Neurospora crassa OR74A: one gene and its partners. The protein of the gene in region 1 interacts with the protein of each later gene in a biochemical or structural test. Links are inferred from orthologs where the notes say so. Each region holds a gene or a part of one and is shown in the gene's direction. Other genes may lie near its edges.

Region 1 (3,602 bases):
GGGCAAGATCGACCAGCTCTTGAGTCGGCTCATCATTGGCTATGCGCTTGGCGTAGACCTCGCCAATCTCGAGGGCGAGATGGCGAACGTACTCATGACCCCACGAGCCAATGTCCTGTGTTGGGGAAAGAAGTCTGTATTTCAGAGTATCCTGGCGGTCCTCGTCCGAGTATGTCATACCGATCACCGATAGAACATCTGCGAGAGATGACTTATCATCGCCAGCGGGCCACTCGTCGTAGAGTTTCGTCATGGTTTCATAATGCGGGCGCAGGAACTTGAGCGGCTTCGGTACCGCCGTCATGGAGGATGTGGATGTCTTGATAGAGTTCTTCATGGCCTCGAGGGCCGGCTTGTAGAGGGTCGCATCGGATTCCTGAAGACATTGTACTGTTAGAGAAGCCGGTCTTCAGCCTGTATCACGTCATTGCGAAGCACCAACCGTTAGCCGCTCAACGAGCATCTCAAGCTCGCTCTTGAGCTGCTGATCCTCTTCACTGAGTTCCTCGGAAGCTAACGCAAAGCGCTGTCAGCAGAAGCCCGGCGCCGATACCTCAAGTCGGTCGGAGTGGCCGAGAAACCCACCATTCTGTTCCTCCTCCTTCTTTCCGTTTGCGGGGGTCTTTCCATCGACATCTTGGTGCTTCTTCTCGTCATCGACGGCCTTTCCCTTGCCCTTATCGGCCGTCTTGGACAGGTCGCTTTCTTGCGCCATGATTACTGGCCGTGATGGTTGTAGGTGGGAGGATTCGCGGAGCCGATGGGTCCAGTTGGAGGGGAAACCAAGGTCGGTTGGGCTGGCCGGGGTAGGTGGACGCGGCGGTGGCGTTCGCTGCTGCAAGAAATGTTCAAGTTTTGTCACCGAGTTTGCTTGAGCGACAGGAACTTGAGCTCCAGTCGTGAGCAGAATGTCAAAATCAAAAGTGGATGAGCTGGCTGCGGTTGTTTGGAGGTTGTTATGTTGTTCAGGTGACGGTTTTGGAGGTTGGAGCTTTTGCAGGTTCGCCCAGAAGCACCTCAGTTGCTGAAAGCCAGCAAAGGTCAGTGGCAGTTACGGTACTAACGCCAGGGAGCTCCGATGGTGGTTACGCGACTCGCTTGCCGCCTGAAGCTCCCCCGTCTGGCTGAGAACGCCCCTGCGATCCAATGCTGCCCGCCTCAAGTGGGTCTGGAAGCCTCGGTGGGGACGAGGCGTCATCAGAGCCTGGAAGATACAAATTCCGCTCCCCCCAAGCTTCTGATAAGATAAGCTACTGGCCTGGACCTGGCGCTTGACCGGGCAGGCACAGCTCAGCGAATGGAGCCCACGGCCAGCCCTATCTTATCGGGAAGATGTTATCGCAACCGTGCATTTGGAATTTGGGGGACGCCCACTTTCCATTCTGGACATCAGCTTTGCGCTTCACCCACCTTGACTTTGACTTTGACGAGAGCGTCGTAGACAGCAACCTAATAGCTCTCTTGGATCAATACAACATCAGAAAATCTCTCACAGCAATTAGGCCGACAATCACCTGAGGGGAAAAAACAAAAAACATCCAAAAAGAAACACACAATCATGTTTTTGGACACCAGAGTTTTACGCCATCTCACGGCAGAAGACTGGAGAGTCTTGACTGCCGTTGAGATGGGCAGCAAGAACCACGAGCTCGTCCCGACCCCTCTGATCGAGAGAATTGCCCGTCTCAAGGGCGGTGCCAGTGGTGTTCACAAGAGCATAGCGACCCTTGCCAAGTCTGGCCTCATCGGACGCATGAAGGAGGCCAAGTACGACGGCTACCGACTGACCTACGGCGGTCTTGACTATCTGGCCCTACACACCCACTCCTCGAAAGATGTCGTCTACAGCGTTGGCAGTCGTGTGGGTGTTGGCAAGGAATCCGACATCATGATCGTAGCCGACAAGACCGGCAAGCAGAAGATTCTCAAGATCCATCGCCTAGGCCGCATTTCCTTCCGTACCGTCAAGTCCAACCGCGACTACTTGCGCAACCGGCAAGGCGGCTCATGGATGTATCTCTCGCGGCTTGCGGCCATGAAGGAATATGCCTTCATGCAGGCTCTCCAAGAAGAAGGCTTTCCCGTTCCCGAACCGATTTCCCAGTCCCGACACACTATCGTCATGAGCCTGGTCGAGTCCCTACCACTTAGACAGGTCTCCTCGGTTCCAGACCCCGCGAGCCTCTACGCTGAGCTTATCGACCTCATCCTTCGATTGGCCAAGCACGGGCTCATCCATGGTGATTTCAACGAGTTCAACATTTTGATCAAAGAGGAGCGGACCACCAAGTACACGATCGAGGACGGCGAGGAGAAGGAGACGGAGACGGTAACCCTTGTCCCAGTCATTATCGACTTCCCACAAATGGTGTCTATGGACCACGTAAACGCCGAGATGTACTTTGACCGCGATGTCGAATGCATCAAGAGGTTCTTCAAGAAGCGCTTCCACTTTGTGCCCACACAACCCGGTCCTTTCTTCAAGGATGCTAAGAAGACGGTTGGCAAGGATGGAGCTAAGCGGTTGGACGCCACTGTGGAGGCTTCAGGATTTACCAAGAAGATGCTCAAGGAACTGGAGAAGGCTATTCAGGAACAACAGGCGAAGATTGATGCGGGTGAGGCTGTGGAGGAAGAAGAACTCGACGAGGACGAGGACGAGGATGAGGAGGATGATAGTGGAAGCGATACAGATGATGAGGAAGATGAGGAAGATCAACAAGAGGAAGAGGAACACGCCGTGTTCGAGATTCCGGCAAATGTTGGAAGGCCTTTGTCAGATGCAGAGAAGGGGCTGGAAAAGTTATCACTTGGCGGCAAGGGCGGCAAGCGAAGGGCTTGAAGCACATCGAGAGGAGAAAAGAAACGCGTTTCATGTCAGCTTTGAGATACCCCCAAATCCTATGCATTTCTATCAAGCAAATTTGTACTAAGACGTGCCAAGCAGGTTTTTAAGACTTTACGCTTATCAGTTTTTTTGCAACCCATATGTTGATTATGACACCCTCCGCAAAAGCAGTTTGACACACGTCACAATCGAATAAAGCCCAACTTGAATCACATTGAAACGTACTAATACTTTAGCTTCTGCTCCCACCTAACCTTCAAAGACCTCTGGCGGCGATGTCGGCTCTACTGACCATTTTCCGCCGCTGGCACGATAGGCTTCGGCACCGGGACATAATCATATGTGCCCGCCATACCCATCAACCAAACCTGACTGGGGTGCGCAGGAACCTTCTCTCCATACAAGAATGAGCTAGGAAACCCAATATCGAACGGAACCGCGCTCTCAATCTCGTCGATATCCTTGTCCGACAACGCCAGCGTGAGCGCCTCAATGTTACCCTTCAGGTGCTCGACCGACCGGCCGCCAACAATCGGGAACACGTACGGAGCCTTGTGCATCACGTACGCCAGGGCGACGGAGGTGATGGCTGTGTTCTTACGCTGCGCAATCTTCTCCAGAGCCCGGCTGATTTTGATCTGCTCCTCGGTCGCCTTGATCTTGCGGCCTTCGTTGGCTTGCTGCTGGCGCTGCTCCTCCGATTTGAAGCTGCCGCCCCCGAGGGCCCCCCAGGGCGCGAGCCCCATGCCTTCGT
Region 2 (3,522 bases), about 860 kb from region 1:
CCCCATTCGTCGGCGTTCCAGGGGCGCATGCTCCTGATGGAGAACCACTTGAATCGGACCTTGAGACGCGACCAGAACCCGCTTGCTGCCGCCAGAAGCTCTTCTTTTGTGGGCCGATGAGGCAAATGGGGGAGGTGAGGAAGGTGAAGGTATTTAGACATGGAATCTGCTATTGATTCATGTGCGGGAGTCGGCTGGGAACCAGAACCGGAAGCCGTCTCGGTATTCGGTGGCTGCTGTGGTTGCTCGGACTTTTGCTGAGGAGAAATTGTAGAAGACTTGGCTTCGGCCTTGGTCTCGTCATGATCACCCTTGGTCTCTTTGCCCGAACTTTGGAATCGCTTTCCTGTCTTGCATAACGTTGTGGTCGTGGTGTTCTGTCGTATCCTTCGCAAGAGTAAAGCCTGCCGAGCCAAGTGGCCCATTTTTGCCTTTTGCGCGGCATTGCCGGATAGTGCGGATGCCTCTACCGTGCTCGTTGGAGAGGGGCTGGTGGTGAGCCCAAGGAGGAGTAGGCCTCCGGAGGTACAGCTTCGTAGGACATTATGGGATGGTTGTGACTGTTGATAGTGTAGTCTTTGCGATTTTGTTGCTGGGAAGAAAAAGCGACTTGCGGAAGAGGTAAATTGTCGCGTGCTCTGCTGCTGTCCGTATCGCTGATGGGACCCCAGCGATGTCGAGGGGCCAAGTCCAAGACTTTGACGACTCAGTAATGGCTGACAAGTTGGAAGCAGTATCGCGGCTGTGAAGAGATTCGAGGTGGTGTGAAGATCTCGTACTGAAGACCATAGCTGGCGGCCCAGCTGGGTCGTCGTAGCGCTAGTAGACATTGTTGAAATTCATACTGTCGACCGAGTAAGGGACCGACCTGTTCCTTTTTTTTTTCCTATGTTTTCAGCGACGATGGTGATGACGACAGCTCGGTGCCGTATCCATGGTCGGTCCTCGAGGCTGAAAATCAGATGTTGTTGCTTGGTGGTGGGCCGAGTCTAGAATGACATATGATGGTGCTCCTGCTCTGACCAAGAACCTGGAGTTTGAAAAAGCTGCCGGTCCAGGTCCCCGTCAAAAGTGCGTCAATGACGCTAACCTTGGGATTACAGGGATTCCTCGGTAACTGTTAGTGCATGGGCGTTGCGATTGGCAAGGGTCCTAGCCCCCATGCAGCCAATCGATAAGCTTCACTTGGGTACTCTTTTGTGGATCCACTGCTTTTTGTCAAGAATTTCCCCTCTGCGCTATCAAAATCGATAAACATCAAAATTCTAGAGACCGACGGCGCAAAAAGGCAGAACTTCGACTCCCAGATCTCCGCAATTCACGACTGTAACCCAGCATCCCGACACTTCTTTCGTCGCCCGTCACCAGTCTCTCCTCCACCCGATTTTCGAAAAATCTGCCATTACTCTTGGCCGGCGATTTCCCAAAATACTACCGACTTTAATCAACAAACAACCCGACTCGGCCCCTTGACCATCACCCACCGATAAACAACACATCTCGCCCAACATGCCTGCGCCAACAGCACTTCGTCAGCCTGTCAAGGCTCCCGCCGCCCAGATTCCTATCCAGACCGAGCAAGAGGACGAGCTCATTCTCGATGTCAACGAGGCCGTCAACCTCACCGATCCCAGCGCCGCCGCTCCCCCTTCCAATGACCAAGATGTGCAGATGGCTGTAGACGAGGAGGGCCGCCCCCGTTTCGCCCCCGGCCAGGACGTCCAGATCATTCGCCGCGCAGAGACCAGGAAAATTGGTATCCCGCCAAACCGCATGTCGGCCCTCAAGGCCAATTGGACCAAGATGTGAGACGGAAAACTACGGAAACATGTGTGAATGTTTGGGCAAGGAAGACTGACTGTTTTCCAATCAGCTACCCCCCACTTGTAGAGCACTGCAAGCTCCAGGTCCGCATGAACATCAAGGAGAAGCGCGTCGAGCTCCGCTCCAGCAGACACACCACCACCCCCGAATCCCTGCAGATGGGTGCCGATTTCGTCTCCGCCTTCGCCATGGGCTTCGACATTGACGACGCCATTGCCCTGCTCCGTCTCGATTCGCTCTATATCCAGTCCTTCGATGTCAAGGATGTCCGTCAGACCCTTGGCCCCGATGCTCTGGGACGTGCGATTGGTCGTATTGCAGGCAAGGACGGAAAGACCAAGTTTGCGATTGAGAATGGTACGTTCACCATTATGGGAGAATGGAAGAGATGACGCAGAAGTACTGACAAGATGTGAAAAGCCACAAAAACCAGAATCGTCCTCGCCGGCTCCCGCGTTCATATCCTCGGTGCCTTCGAGAACATTGGCATGGCCCGCGAGTCCGTCGTCTCCCTCATTCTCGGACACCAGCCCGGCAAGGTGTACAACAACCTCCGGATCATTGCCTCGAGGCAAAAGGAGAGATTCTAAGCTCTTTCTTTCACGAAAAACGGCAACAATGTGTTACACTTCTATTGCCGCTATTCTCACCTAATGAATGGTTCACGCACGGGGCTGCATGGTTCAGTCAACAAAAAATCGACGGTTTTCATCACATAAGGGGCGAAGGTGGCATTTCGGGAGCTACGCTTAAAAAGGGTTCTGGCGTTTAGGAGTTCATTATGCTTTTGCTTTGAGTTTGGAGAGTTTGAAATGGGCGATTCAGTCAGTCATGCTGGGGATATCTACGAAGGTGTGTAGAAGCGGGAGGAAGAGGACGGGATATTGGGGAGCTACCGCCTTGCGAATCTTTCAATGTGTGGTTATGATCTATACCCGGAGGACGAGAAGAGAAGACAATGAACAGAGATATTCACCAAAAGGCGGTTTAGTGCATATTGGCTGGCAAGGTCGATTATTGTGCAGAGAAAGTGATGTGGGAAACTGATCCAGTGCGCTCATTTGGTTGAGGTTCAATTCCATGGTGACGGCAAATCAAGCAAAATGTAAGGAGCTGATGTGATGGGCACCAATGTAGCCAGGTGAGCCACGATAGATTGGTTTCTTCAGGTCATACAAGTAGTAGTTATTTCCATCCATTCTCTTATCTCGCTTGTTCCGCATAAGTAAAGGTCTTGTTTGTTTTACAGTCCAGATGGCGAACCGTATATCGAAATAGCAGATAGAGCATAGTCAAACCCCTCGATATTCACCTACGATAGGTGGGATGAGACCATCTTAACCCGAGGAGGCTCTTTTTGTGCTCTGACTGACCAACTCCCATGACTCATCAAGCTTGTTGAAATAAAGTGAAGGCAAGACGTAGCAAAAAGTGATATACGTATGGGTATCTTCTGAAGAGCTAGGGTACCACCTCCGCACCATGAACCGTGTCCTGGAAGGACTTGCAACACTCCAAACTCCGTAATCATCTGTCACAACTTTAAGCAAAAACAATAATCCACTAGTCACCGCCGATTTCGTAGGCCTGACGAATAAGCCCGGTAAACTCCAACCCCATAACAGCTAAAGAAATGTGCGAATAACGTCTCCCAAAACCCAGTCTCCATGTTTATTCTCCAGGTCATACACTACTTGA
Region 3 (3,730 bases), on another chromosome or scaffold:
GTGATGATGGCAGGGTGTGGAAGTCGAGCCGACATCTCTATCGACGGAGGCACTTCGGGCTCCGTTGCAAGTTTTCCATCAGCCGTTGTTGTTGTTGTTGTTGGGGCTGAAGATGACCCTGCATTGCTACTCCCAGTCCACCCGCTGAAGAAAGAAGCTCGTTTCTTGGAAGACGCGTTTGTCCTTGGGCTTCGTGGACGGAATGCAAAGGGTCGTCTGGCATAGGCTTCGTGGTTCGTCTTGGGCGGCCTTGGAGGCTCAATAGGAAGGAATTTCAAGCCGGTCTGCATCCTCCAGTTCTCCTTGAAAAAGCCCGGTCTCTGAATGGTAACCTTGACATAGTATCGAATCTCGCACTGGCCTGGGAATCCGGTGAAACTGGGTGGGAGCGTCTTTGTGACATGGGAGTACATCAGCTGCTTGGTGCCGTCCATAACACGAATGCCACCGAGACCGAACAAGCCAGAACCCGACGCGATTCCACCGGCACCAGAAAGGCCTCCTAGTTTGGCCATGGCGACAGGATCACCACAAGCATTGTTGAAGGGAAACTTGAACTGGAAGGGGAATCTGTGTTGACCAGCGGCTAGGACATAGGGCTGTGGCAAGGCGTTGGTCTTCTCGTCGGGAAAGGCCTGGGTGACTTTGTATAGGATCTTGTGGTTCTCGTAGATAACATCGCCGGTTGGAGTGCGCTCCCTCTGAGCAATGCCGGTCCCTGAGCCATCGGCGGGTACTCCCAAGGCCGACTTGGCTTCACCCTCGAGTTTGACGATGATGCCTCCGATCTGTTCGGGACGACTGAGAGTGAGGACGACCTGGCCGCGGATAATATCCAGGTTTGTGTAGAACTCGGGAGGGTTTTCGAGGGCGATCCGTATCGACATGGTTGCGATTGATTATCGTCAACTTCAACAGAGAAATGAGGCTATCACCACATGAACCAAAACAACAAGGAATAACCAGTGGGTCACACGCCCAGGTATGAGCCAAGGAGAAGATGATGGAAAAGAATCTGTTATTTTTTTTTTACAATCCGATTTCCTCGAACCTTGGGAGGGGGTTGGTATTATAGGTAGGTAGATGAAAATTCAAAGCCACTGCCTGTCTGCTTCGATGTGATCAGCTTCACACGGCAGTTAGGTGATGACGGGGAAGACCCTCACTGAAAGACCGGAGGATTTGCCGTTTAAGTGCTGGGTAGCAATTTGAACCCGCCGCACATGTTTAGGGCGGCCTCCGCTGTTACGTCAGACGGGGAATCATCGGTCGGAAGTGGCCGAGGTGCCTGGATTCCACTGATGTTTCCAGTGGGCTGGGCCGCCGCCGCCGCCCGCATGGTGTCTCAATGGGGAAAGCGGTCAGCCTTTTGCTTATCTTATCAGCCACATGTCTGGCGGGGCATCTTTTTTTCTGCCGCCTGATCCACTCAAAAAAAAGATGTCGGCCGGGGTCCGGCGCAGGCACAAGGAAGCTCTCTTCAGCCTGCGGTACCTCTGTCCGTCTCACAATAGAGGTACATACTACAGCCATTGCGCGACTGCCGTGACTTGAGAACGAACCGCCCAAGTCTCGACCCGGACAGAGATCGACCGAAACGACGAAACCCTCCATCGATCCCCCAACCTTCTCGTCCGACCTCGATTCCGAGTCGTCTTCCTCCACACACCTACCCACGACAGCATTGACTAGACTACACCATGCCCAAGGCAGCGAAGGCGTCCAAGAAGTCGGGGGGCGGCGGCAACCCCTACGATCGCAAGGGGGGCGGCGGCGGCGGCAAGGCTACCAACACCAACATCTTCAAGTTCGACAAGGACTTTGGCCAGCATATCCTCAAGAACCCCGGTATCTCGGATGCCATTGTCGACAAGGCCTTCCTCAAGCCCACCGATGTCGTCGTCGAAGTCGGTCCCGGTACCGGCAACATCACGGTCCGCGCCCTTGAAAAGGCAAAGAAGGTCATCGCCATCGAGCTCGATCCTCGTATGGGTGCCGAAGTTACCAAGCGTGTCCAGGGCACTCCGCTAGCCAAGAAGCTCGAGGTCATTCTCGGCGATGTCATCAAGATGCCCGAAATGCCTCCATGCGACGCTCTCATCTCCAACACTCCCTACCAAATTTCCAGTCCGCTCATCTTCAAGATGTTGGCCATGCCCAACCCGCCCCGCGTCGCCGTACTCATGTTTCAAAGAGAATTCGCAAAGAGACTGGTGGCTCGGCCGGGTGATGCTCTCTACTCGAGATTGAGTGTCAATGTCAACTTCTGGGCCACATGCAAGCACATCATGAAGGTCGGCAAGCAGAACTTCAAGCCTCCTCCCAAGGTCGAGTCCGACGTCGTCAGAATTGAGCCCCTTGTTGGTTCGGCGCGCCCCAACATTGCTTTTGAGGAGTTCGACGGTCTCCTTCGCATTGCTTTCAACCGCAAGAACAAGACCCTTTATGCCGGCTTCAACCAGAAGGAGGTCCTCAACATGTGCGAGAGGGTACGTTTCTTCCCATGTGTTCACAAGCTCCAACTCTTACTGACCACTTCGTTTCCAGAACTACAAAGTCTACTGCACCCTCAACAACATCCCCATCGACGAGTCCCTCGCTTCCGCGGCTGACCTTGCTGCCGCCGGCGCCACCAACGATGCCATGGACGTCGAGATGGACGACGACAACGAAGACAATGATAACGAAGAGAACAACGACGATGACGAGGCTATGGAGGAGGATGAGGACGAGGACATGCCCGTCTTCTTCAAGGAGCAAAACGACGCCAACGCTAAGGACGCCAAGACACCTAGCAAGAACCCCAAGTCCAAGGTGGCCTTGATAGTCAAGGCCAAGTTGAACAAGGTGCTTACGAGCACCGGTTTGGCGGACAAGAGAGCTAGGCAGTGCGATCAGAACGATTTCCTCAAGCTGTTGCTTGGTACGTTTTCTTCCCCCTCGGCTTCCCTTTCTGATGGACAACCTCGCTAACACTCCTGACAGCGTTCCACGAGGAGGGTATTCACTTCTCTTAGACGTGTGTTATTATTGCGAACACGCACAGAAATCATCGGCGTACGGGGCGTTTTTTGGGGATTGGGAAAATGTCGTTTTTTAAAAATTCTTTGTTTTGTTCCATTTGTCGTGGAAATACCATTGATCTGGATGCTAGGATTTGCACAATCATAAAAGCCAATGAATCTGGCTGCCACTTTTGCCAGGAATCGAACCATAATCATCTTTCGTTTGGATTGCTTGAGCGTCGGATGTTGTTCTCTTCGTCACGTTGCTCAAACATTGCTGAGAAGCAATTGCTGACAATACCAGACCTACCGCATCGAGATGTCTTTTATAATAAAACCATGGATCGGGGGAGTGGTCAGTGACCTACGGGACCGAGTCCTTGGAGTAACAGGGAAACGGAAAGCACAGGAGAGCAAGCTGTTTTCCTACCCTACCTCTCTCAGTAACAGGCGCCGAGTGCGTCGTTACCAAGCCAGAAAGCGTGGAAGCCTTCTTTCGATAGCTTGTCAGTTGTTCAAAACCATTGAAGAGGGGCAAAGAAAAAGAAGAAGAACAAATGGTGACCGCAACTTATATTTTGGAAAGCACGACACTGGATACTAAAATGTGTCGCCGTTCTTGTCCTTCTCTCCTCCACTCCTCCATTCTTCGACCTCCATCCTCCGCACCCAACACCCATAGCCCAAAAACCACGAAGGTCTCAGCACCCATGCCATCGCCGGCG
Region 4 (4,232 bases), about 320 kb from region 1:
AGGTGGGTTTCCCGAACAATGGGGTAAACACTGATGCTCCTCATCAAATCGCGGCCAGCTCTCGTTGTGGTGAGGAGAGTAAGAGTTTCTAGGTGTGTCAGGATGTTGCTGCTGTCGGGATCGCGCTGCTTGTCTGGAGGCAATAGCTGAAGATCGGTAAGCATTTCCAATGCCTCATCCTCGGGATAAACTTCGCCGCCCATGATAGGAAGTAAAATGTAGGGTAAGATATTGACGTCATCCTCATCCAAAAACGCCGGGTGCGAAGGAATGTCAAAAGCAGCGTTCTTGATAATGCTCGCCACTCCCTTTCGCCTGATATCGGACTTGTGTTCGGTAAAGACCTTGATCTTGTTGATTGGAATAACATCGTCGTAGTCCTGTCTGTTGACAAAGTAGTGCCGGATCTCTTCATGTTTCGAAAGGTCGGCAAAGACGTAGGAGAGGTAGTCGTAATCGGCGTGCTTGTTGTAAGTCCCGTCGGCGCCCTTGACGAAGAGGTCCATTAGTTGGTTAATGACCCTATCGTCGGACTTGAGCTTCTCTGGAGCGGGCTGTTTCCGGTCTAGAAGACTTTTGAGTCCATCCCACTTGGTCAAGTTTGCCAGCAACATAGCCATAAGATTGGCGTTAACCTCCTCGGGCTCCTATAGGAACGGGATCGAAGCGGTTAGTCCTTGCTGCGCACGCACCGTAGGAGCTCAGAATGGATACACATACGACAAGAAGCCCGAGGAGGATTCCAAGGAAGCGATCATCGGTCGCGACGTATTCCAGCACATCCTTCTCGGCAGTCAAGTTGATCAAGCATGTTAGGGCGTGCTCGGCGATTTTCTGCACATGGTACCGACGTCTTAGCTGAAGCTGCTTGGGCGCAAACAAGACAAGTCTGTTGGGCCTACCGGGTGGTCGCGGATCAAGAACTTGAGATGCTTGATGGGGGTGAGCTCGTCGGTCTTGAAGAGGGCGGGCTGAGACGCTGAGAAGGGCACCAGGTTCTCTGTCGCGAGAAGGCGGATGTTGGCGTTCGGCGAGGCAATGAAGCCCACGAGCTTCAGGCGATTATAGCGATTAGTTGTCTGTCCACTGACATTGACACTGCACTGGTTCTGGCAGAATTACCTCTTCAAGTTCGGTCGGCATGTTATCAATGGTAGCTGGATGTATGGTTGTATTGGACTTGCTATAAGCTCGTAACCGTGGCGAGCGAGGCTATGATGTCGCGACTTCCCTTGCTCTTATTCATGCAGTGGGCCAAGCTGCAAAAACTGTAAACACAGGGAACAAAATTCCAGGAATTTGCAACCGAAGAGGGGCACAGTGACGAAAATGCGGGGCAATAAAATGTTTATCGCTGCTCCGCCGGGCGCGTCCAAGCTAGACGATAAGCGATAAGAGGTATTGTACCGCTTATCATTTTCACCGCCCTGGCATCAGAAAATAAAGTGTGCCCACACAGCAAAGAAGTGACCAACCACAAGCGTAGCGCAAGCCTTTCAAGTGCCCAGACTTCTCCACGGCGGGAACAAATTGTCCAAGGGTCGCCGAAAAAAATATCCCCAATTGCCGTGTGCAGCCAAGTCGACATCGCAAAGAGAGGGGACAACCAGGAGAGCTCCGTATCATCAACTCTTCCCCCGATTGCACAACCCTACCGCCATTCAAGATGCCCAAGACAACAGCGGCGACGTCGAAGAGGCGCCACAACCCCCTCGAGGCCGACCTCGTTTCTACCGGCGTCCTTAAGAACAACTCCGGCAAAAAGAGCAAGAACACTCGCGCCGCCAACGACGAAGATGAGCAAAAGTATGTCGACGCCAAGGCTTCGCGCAACATTTTGGCTATGAGCCGTAGCCTCATCGAGGAGGAGGAGAACCTCCGGACAACACAAAACGCAGCCTCCGGATCTGCTCCTTCGGCGTTCGAGTTCGATCCATCGAGATTCGACCGCAACGATGACGAAGACGACAAGTTTGAGAACGACGAGGCCTGGGGCGAGGAAGAGGAGGAGGAGGTAGAGGAAATCGAAGTCGACGCCACCGATCTCGAGACATTCAACCAGTTTATCACACCCACAATGAACGAGGACCCGCTCCTAACACACGGATGGGATGGAAAGCCAGAAGGGGCAGAAGAGCAGGGTCAGAGCGTGAACCTGGCGGACCTTATTCTTGCCAAGATCGCAGAGAAGGAAGCCGGCGGCCCCCAAGGCGGGTACCGCGACGAGCCTGGCCCAATTGATGAGGATTACGAGATCCCCCCAAAGGTGATGGAAGTGTTTGAGAAGTAGGCTGGCCGTTATTTCTGTTACCCTCTTGGCAGACTACTGACAGACTCCTTCTCGCAGAATTGGCATGATTCTTTCTCGCTACAAATCTGGGCCGCTTCCCAAGCCTTTCAAGGTCCTTCCTCAGATCCCCCACTGGGAGGACATCTTGCCCATTACACAACCCGAGTCCTGGACTCCCAATGCCTGGTATGGTTGCTTCTTCCTGTTTTCGGGAGCCAGAGAAACGCTGCTGACATTTGCGATTGTTAGCTACGCGGCCACCAGGATATTTGCGTCCGCCAAGGAGGCTGTTCTTCAACGGTTTATGGAGATGGTGATCTTAGAACGCGTCCGCGAGGACATTCACGAGACCAAGAAGCTCAATGTCCATCTTTTCAACTCCCTAAAAAAGGCCCTCTACAAGCCTGGTGGTTTCTTCAAAGGTGTGTTATTTACTGCCTACGCTTAGTCAGGTTTGCTCAAAAGGGACAACCCAGCTAACCGTTGGCAGGCTTCTTGTTTCCTTTGGCGGCTTCCGGAACGTGCTCGCTGCGTGAGGCGCAGATCGTAGCCGGTGTTTTGACCCGGGTCACCATTCCGGCTGTTCATTCCGGTATGGCCATTAAGGGCTTGTGCGAAATTTCTTCTGCGCAGGCTTCTCAGCGCCTCGACTGCGTTAGCGCTACGAATTTCCTCCTCAAGACTCTGATTGAGAAACGTCACGCCTTGCGTAAGTCCAATTCCTAGCGTGCCAATGATTGTATTCTCTGACTTTGTAATACAGCCTTCCAAGCGCTCGATGCCCTCGTCTTCCACTTTCTTCGGTATCCCGCTTTCGCCACCGGCGGGCATATGGCACCCAACGCTTTACCAGTCATCTTCCATCAGTGCATGCTCTCATTTGCACAGAGATACAAGACGAACAGTGAGTTTGCTTCTTCCGTCGCTGTTTCACTATGCGTCCCTATTATTTTTGAGTACTAACCGCGGTCTTTGTGTAGTTACTGAGGACCAGCGAGAGGCTCTCCTGGATCTTCTCCTAACTCACGGCCATGACAAGATTTCGCCCGAGATCAGGCGAGAACTTCTCGCAGGTCGCGGAGGTGGTGTCCCTGTCGCGCAACCCGGATTTGATGGCGATGACACGATGCTGGACGCTTGAAGAAACATCGGTGATCCGGTAATGACTTATAGACGATGAACCCTTGGTATGCAACGAGGACATGTGGCTCATTTTTACCTGGTACGCGCATAGAGATGGGAGTCGTGTTGTTTAGTGACCTTGGTGGCTTGGGGCAGTCCTTAGACATTGACCCCTTTGATAATACTATGTCACGCCTCGACAGTGGCTACTACTCATCACGCCGCTTGAAGAGGAAGTGGTCATGCCAAGTCAGTCACCATGTACTACCCTTTGTATCTTAGTGGTGCTGACCAACCAGCAACATAATTGTTGACGACCTGTAATGCTTTAGTGCACGAAATTATAAATTCAAGATACCCGGTACAGCAACAGGAATTGTCGAGGAGCCTTGGAATAATCATTTTCAGTTATGTGAAGGAAGCTGCCTTTTGACTTCTTTGTTGCGTCAATCTGGCTTGGAATGCCCTTCTCCCATTTTTCCAAGTCCAAGGCAACCGCGATCCTCTGCCACGTTGTCGGAATCCTGAGAGAACAGTGTAAAGGGAAAGAAGGCAATGTAGCTCTCGCCTACTTCGATATCTCGTGTATCTGATGGCATCATCCCGTATTAGGTGCTTTTACCATACGAGTTTCTAGTGTTCTCTTCCTAACACCCGGTCAACCCGAACATTCTAAGCACTCCGCCCCTCTCGTTTCCCTATTTATTCTTGAGATTGCTTTCTTACCCCGAGACACCAAGTTCTACTCAGTATTTCCGCAAGATCAGGATTTTCGGCGCTGCTTTCTGGCGTTTCGCCTAAGAATCCCGACACCACCTCA
Region 5 (4,148 bases), on another chromosome or scaffold:
GCCATCTTGCAGTCCTGTCCTGTTGTCACCATGTAGCGGCCTTCGCGGTCGACAGCCATGGATCGTACGGGACCACGGTGGGCAAGGAGCTTGACCAGAGGTTCTGACGAGTTGGGCGACCATAGCGTTACTGTGCCGTTCTGGTGACCAACATGGAGGATAGCGTTCCAGGGGTTTTGTGTCATGGAAACGGGTGTGCCCAGCTTCGTTGCGATTTCGGTGACGATCTGACCGGTCGATGTGTCCTGGTACTTGAGCTGGCCGTTTGTGCCCAGGGTGGCCAGCAGGAAGTGGTAGGGGAGGAATTCGAGGTGGGAGACTTCGACGTGTTTCCTTAGGCAGTGGAGCTCGACGCCCTGCGAGTCGTAGATGTAGGTGTACTTCTTCTGAGCGACGGCAAAGTATTGGTTGTTGTGTAGCCACTTGACGTCCCTGATGGTCTCTCCCAACTGCAACTCACAGCCCAGCTTGCCGTCTCTCCAGTCCATCGTAGCGACATGGCCCTTTCGTCCTGCCAGAATCAGATCCCGGCCATTCCTCGAAAAATCGCAAATGTAAGGGCCTAGTTGGTCGAGCTTCAAGTCGAACTTTTTCTGGGCGACCTCAATGTTGACTTCGCTGACGATGTCCTCCTGGCGAACCTTGTATGTGCGTTCCTATCGTGACCAGCGCGGTTAGTATCGCGCAAGAGGCTATAAACTCCCAAGCCATGGCTACTCACAAGCTCATGTTCAGCCTCGAGGAAACCGCCGGCATTCTCGAGAAGGATTTCGGCCTCCTTGGCCTTTAGCGTGGCCGTCTGGTACTTTTCTTCGAGGTTGGTAAGGTTGCGCTTGAGCTTTTTGTCCTTGACGTTCTTGACATCGATCTTGCGACCACGGCCGTACGACTTCTCTGCTGCCTTGACTTTGCGGATCTTGTTGGCCTCGGCCTTTGATCGGAACTCGCTTCGGACGTTGTTGATGGCAACGGCGCCGCTGGGCTGCTCTGCCCTCGAGAGGGAGATTTCGGCCCTGTCTGTAGTCTCCATGGTGCCAATGGGTCGACGCGACACAATGGGAATGGGTAATATGTGTGGTGGACTAGGACAGTTGGATCGGCGACGGGATATGGATGGGGGCTGAATATGGAATTGGTCTGGCGGTTTCTCGGTGTGCCCGTGTCTGTCCCTCGCTTTGGCACTTTGAATGTTTCCTTTCCTCGACAACTTTTTTGGGGCCGGACCCACTAAAAAGTTGGATGGGGCAGCTGTTCCGCAGCGATCATTGGCTCCACTGCGTACAAGAGTCCGATAAGATAAGTAGCGAGACGGCCGCCCATGTTCGCACAACTCAAAAAAATGCAACGAGTGCCCCGCCATTGACATTGTCCCCATCACTTTATTCGATACTCGATAGACGGATTGTGACCAGAGAGGTTCTCGAAATCTCTTTTCAGTCCCAACCCCCCAGCCTCTTCTCTTCATCGCCTCCCCAGGTCCAACATCCTGGCGTCAAACTCGCTCCCTTTTCGGTTCAAAGCAGGCGGCGATTCCAGCAATATGCCCGGCGCCGTGAGCGGCCACTCGCATCGGCCGACGACCAAGGCGTCGAACAAGCCCTTCAAGTCACGCCATTCTACCAAGGGTGCTCTCCGGAATGCTGCCAAAGGTACGGATTGCATATAACAGCCGTGCCTCATGCCAAGGTTGTTGCCTTGGACTATGCTCTACTTCACCCAACTTTGGCGCACCAAGCCCAAGCAGACATGAATATACAGCTGCATATAAAGAGGTCGACAACGTCCACACAGCGCTAATACTTTCAACATTCTATAGGCAAGGTAGCCGAGGAGAGAGGTGTGCGCAAGACCCCCCATCAACAAGTCATGTCCAAGTTCGACCGTCGCAACCGTAACAAGCAGCTTCAGCTGCAAAAACACAAGGAACATCTCCAGGAGACCTCCATTTTCGCCGGCAAGGATGGTGCCCCCAGAAACGTGGCCGTTATCCCCCTGTGCAGCGACGGTGACGCTACCGAAGCCATCAAGAGCCTGAACGCCAGCATTGATATCGAGACCGAGGTGCCCGAGGGCGCATTCCGCGTTCCCGTCGACAGATTCAAGCAGAAGCTTCAATACTTCCCCCTCAAGCGCGACCTTACCGCCTGCCTGGACGCTGCCAGAGTCGCCGACTATGTCGTTCTCGTTTTGTCCGCGCAGGAAGAGGTCGATGAACTTGGCGAGCTGATCTTGCGCAGCGTTGAAAGCCAGGGTCTCTCTACCCTCTTCACCGTCGTCCAGGGCCTCAACAAGATCGAGCCCCAAAAGCAGAGACTCTCCGTTCTTTCGTCTCTCAAGTCCTACATCACCCACTTCCACCCCGAACAGGATAAGGTCTTCAGCCTCGACAACAGACAGGAATGCTCCAACCTCATGCGCTCGCTATGCAGCACTACACCCAAGGGCATTCGCTGGAGAGACGAGAGGAGTTGGATGCTTGTGGAGGAGGTCAAGTTTGGTGAGTCTACCGTGCTTACCGGTGTCGTCAGGGGCAAGGGCTTGAAGGCCGACCGCCTGGTGCAGGTTGGCGATTGGGGCACCTTCCAGGTTGAGAAGATCACAGCAGCTCCCTTGGCCAGGAGGAAACGTGGAGAGGAGGGCATGAACGTGGAGGAGGGCGCTGAGGAGATTCTCGACCAGCCTACCGACGACCGCGATGATCTTGTCGACCTTGCGCCCGAGGAGGTTCGCATGGAGGACGACGACGATGACGAAATGAACGACGGAATGACCACAATGACGACTTCAAAGAAGGGTGTTTTGTTGGACGACCACCATTACTTCTCAGAGGAGGAGCCCGAGGCTTATACTGCGCCAAAGAAGCTTCCCAAGGGTACATCAAAGTACCAGGCTGCGTGGTACCTAGACGACGATGTGTCTGATTCCGGCTCAGATATGGAAGAGGACGATGAGATGGAGGACGACGACGAGGAAGAGGCCGCCAGGCCAGAGGATGGCGAGGAGGGTCTTGCTGGTTACGCGCCAACAGAAGCCGGACAAACCGAGTACCCACAAACTGAGGGCGGCTTCATCCAACCTGATGCTGATGAGGATGCCAAGCAACTAGAGGCTTTCCGCAAGCAAAAGCGGGATGAGGCTCAGGATGACCTCGAGTTCCCTGATGAGATCGAGCTCCACCCCCACGTTCTTGCTCGTGAACGTCTAGCCAAGTACAGAGGTCTCAAGAGCTTGAGGTCAAGCCCTTGGCAGGAGGATGAGGACCGCGCATACCAGCCAGAGGATTGGGAGCGCTTGTTGAAGATCCAAGACTACCAGGCCTCCAAGATCAGGGCGTCTAGGGAAGCCCTTGTCGGAGGTGTTGCTCCTGGTACCCGCGTCCACGTTTACCTTAAGGACGTGCCCGCGACCATCCAGCAATCCTACAACCCCAGCCAGCCCGTCACTCTATTCTCCCTGCTCAGGCACGAGTACAAGAAGACTGCTGTCAACTTCCTCATCAACCTGAGCGCGGACGCTGCCGCACCCATCAAGGCCAAGGAGGAGTTGATCATACAGTGCGGTCCCCGCCGCTTCGTCATCAACCCGCTCTTCTCCCAGGGCGGCAACACTCCCAACGACGTCCACAAGTACTGCCGGTACCTGCACCCCGGCCAGTCGGCTGTCGCTACTTTTACGGGTCCTGTCACATGGGGTGCTGTACCCACCCTCTTCTTCAAGAGGCAAGTGCCGGGCTCCGTGCTTGACGAAGATGGCGAGCCCGTCTCCAATCTGCCGCTCAGCCTCGTCGCCACCGGCACTGCCCTGCCCCCCTCGACATCGCGCGTCGTCGCCAAGCGTGCCATCCTTACCGGTCACCCGTACCACATCCACAAGAAGATTGTCACCATCCGCTACATGTTCTTCAACAGGGAGGACGTTGAGTGGTTCAAGGCTCTGCCTCTGTGGACCAGGCGTGGCAGGAGCGGTTTCATCAAGGAGGCGCTGGGTACCCACGGTTACTTCAAGGCTACCTTTGACGGGCGCATCAACCCTCAGGACTCTGTGGGCGTCAGCTTGTACAAGAGGGTGTGGCCCCGGAGTGCCAAGCAGCTGGGTGCGCCTCTGCTGGATGCCGCGGCGCTCCAGCAGGAGGTTGATGAGGACGCTAT

What was found.
Region 2: the proteins of rbg-40 (region 1) and NCU07956 are reported together in a solved structure, tested with the Saccharomyces cerevisiae proteins (2 studies listed by BioGRID, with this or other methods). The link is inferred for Neurospora crassa OR74A from reciprocal best matches to the Saccharomyces cerevisiae genes RIO2 and PNO1.
Region 3: the proteins of rbg-40 (region 1) and NCU08968 are reported together in a solved structure, tested with the Saccharomyces cerevisiae proteins (2 studies listed by BioGRID, with this or other methods). The link is inferred for Neurospora crassa OR74A from reciprocal best matches to the Saccharomyces cerevisiae genes RIO2 and DIM1.
Region 4: the proteins of rbg-40 (region 1) and NCU08323 are reported together in a solved structure, tested with the Saccharomyces cerevisiae proteins (2 studies listed by BioGRID, with this or other methods). The link is inferred for Neurospora crassa OR74A from reciprocal best matches to the Saccharomyces cerevisiae genes RIO2 and ENP1.
Region 5: the proteins of rbg-40 (region 1) and NCU01503 are reported together in a solved structure, tested with the Saccharomyces cerevisiae proteins (2 studies listed by BioGRID, with this or other methods). The link is inferred for Neurospora crassa OR74A from reciprocal best matches to the Saccharomyces cerevisiae genes RIO2 and TSR1.

Annotation. Positions count from the first base shown.
Region 1 is NC_026504.1:2,085,397-2,088,998, reverse strand, and holds rbg-40 (serine/threonine-protein kinase RIO2), read left to right. Parts: upstream 1-1,394; 5' UTR 1,395-1,558; coding exon 1,559-2,842; 3' UTR 2,843-3,090; downstream 3,091-3,602. Other genes in the region: rpn-1 (26S proteasome regulatory subunit rpn1), read right to left, coding at 1-376, 443-513, 586-715; NCU07723 (norsolorinic acid reductase), read right to left, coding at 3,133-3,602. UniProt on the Saccharomyces cerevisiae protein: Required for the final endonucleolytic cleavage of 20S pre-rRNA at site D in the cytoplasm, converting it into the mature 18S rRNA. Involved in normal export of the pre-40S particles from the nucleus to the cytoplasm.
Region 2 is NC_026504.1:1,226,301-1,229,822, reverse strand, and holds NCU07956 (pre-rRNA-processing protein PNO1), read left to right. Parts: upstream 1-1,258; 5' UTR 1,259-1,509; coding exon 1,510-1,805; intron 1,806-1,873; coding exon 1,874-2,181; intron 2,182-2,244; coding exon 2,245-2,414; 3' UTR 2,415-3,018; downstream 3,019-3,522. Other genes in the region: pod-1 (mitochondrion biogenesis protein), read right to left, coding at 1-830; NCU07957 (hypothetical protein), read right to left, coding at 3,515-3,522. UniProt on the Saccharomyces cerevisiae protein: Required for small ribosomal subunit (SSU) synthesis. Has a role in the processing of early nucleolar and late cytoplasmic pre-RNA species. Recruits DIM1 to nucleolar pre-RNAs.
Region 3 is NC_026505.1:5,864,570-5,868,299, forward strand, and holds NCU08968 (dimethyladenosine transferase), read left to right. Parts: upstream 1-1,452; 5' UTR 1,453-1,700; coding exon 1,701-2,489; intron 2,490-2,547; coding exon 2,548-2,923; intron 2,924-2,985; coding exon 2,986-3,017; 3' UTR 3,018-3,223; downstream 3,224-3,730. Other genes in the region: NCU08967 (arrestin domain-containing protein), read right to left, coding at 1-887; NCU08969 (hypothetical protein), read right to left, coding at 3,577-3,730. UniProt on the Saccharomyces cerevisiae protein: Specifically dimethylates two adjacent adenosines in the loop of a conserved hairpin near the 3'-end of 18S rRNA in the 40S particle.
Region 4 is NC_026504.1:2,401,670-2,405,901, forward strand, and holds NCU08323 (bystin), read left to right. Parts: upstream 1-1,502; 5' UTR 1,503-1,666; coding exon 1,667-2,286; intron 2,287-2,347; coding exon 2,348-2,476; intron 2,477-2,539; coding exon 2,540-2,712; intron 2,713-2,780; coding exon 2,781-2,999; intron 3,000-3,053; coding exon 3,054-3,194; intron 3,195-3,270; coding exon 3,271-3,431; 3' UTR 3,432-3,730; downstream 3,731-4,232. Other genes in the region: NCU08324 (DNA-binding protein HGH1), read right to left, coding at 1-647, 721-834, 903-1,052, 1,123-1,143; NCU16789 (hypothetical protein), read left to right, coding at 3,874-3,949. UniProt on the Saccharomyces cerevisiae protein: Required for normal export of the pre-40S particles from the nucleus to the cytoplasm.
Region 5 is NC_026502.1:3,251,163-3,255,310, reverse strand, and holds the start of NCU01503 (pre-rRNA processing protein Tsr1), read left to right. Parts: upstream 1-1,346; 5' UTR 1,347-1,540; coding exon 1,541-1,649; intron 1,650-1,816; coding exon 1,817-4,148. Other genes in the region: NCU01502 (small nucleolar ribonucleoprotein complex subunit), read right to left, coding at 1-656, 722-1,030.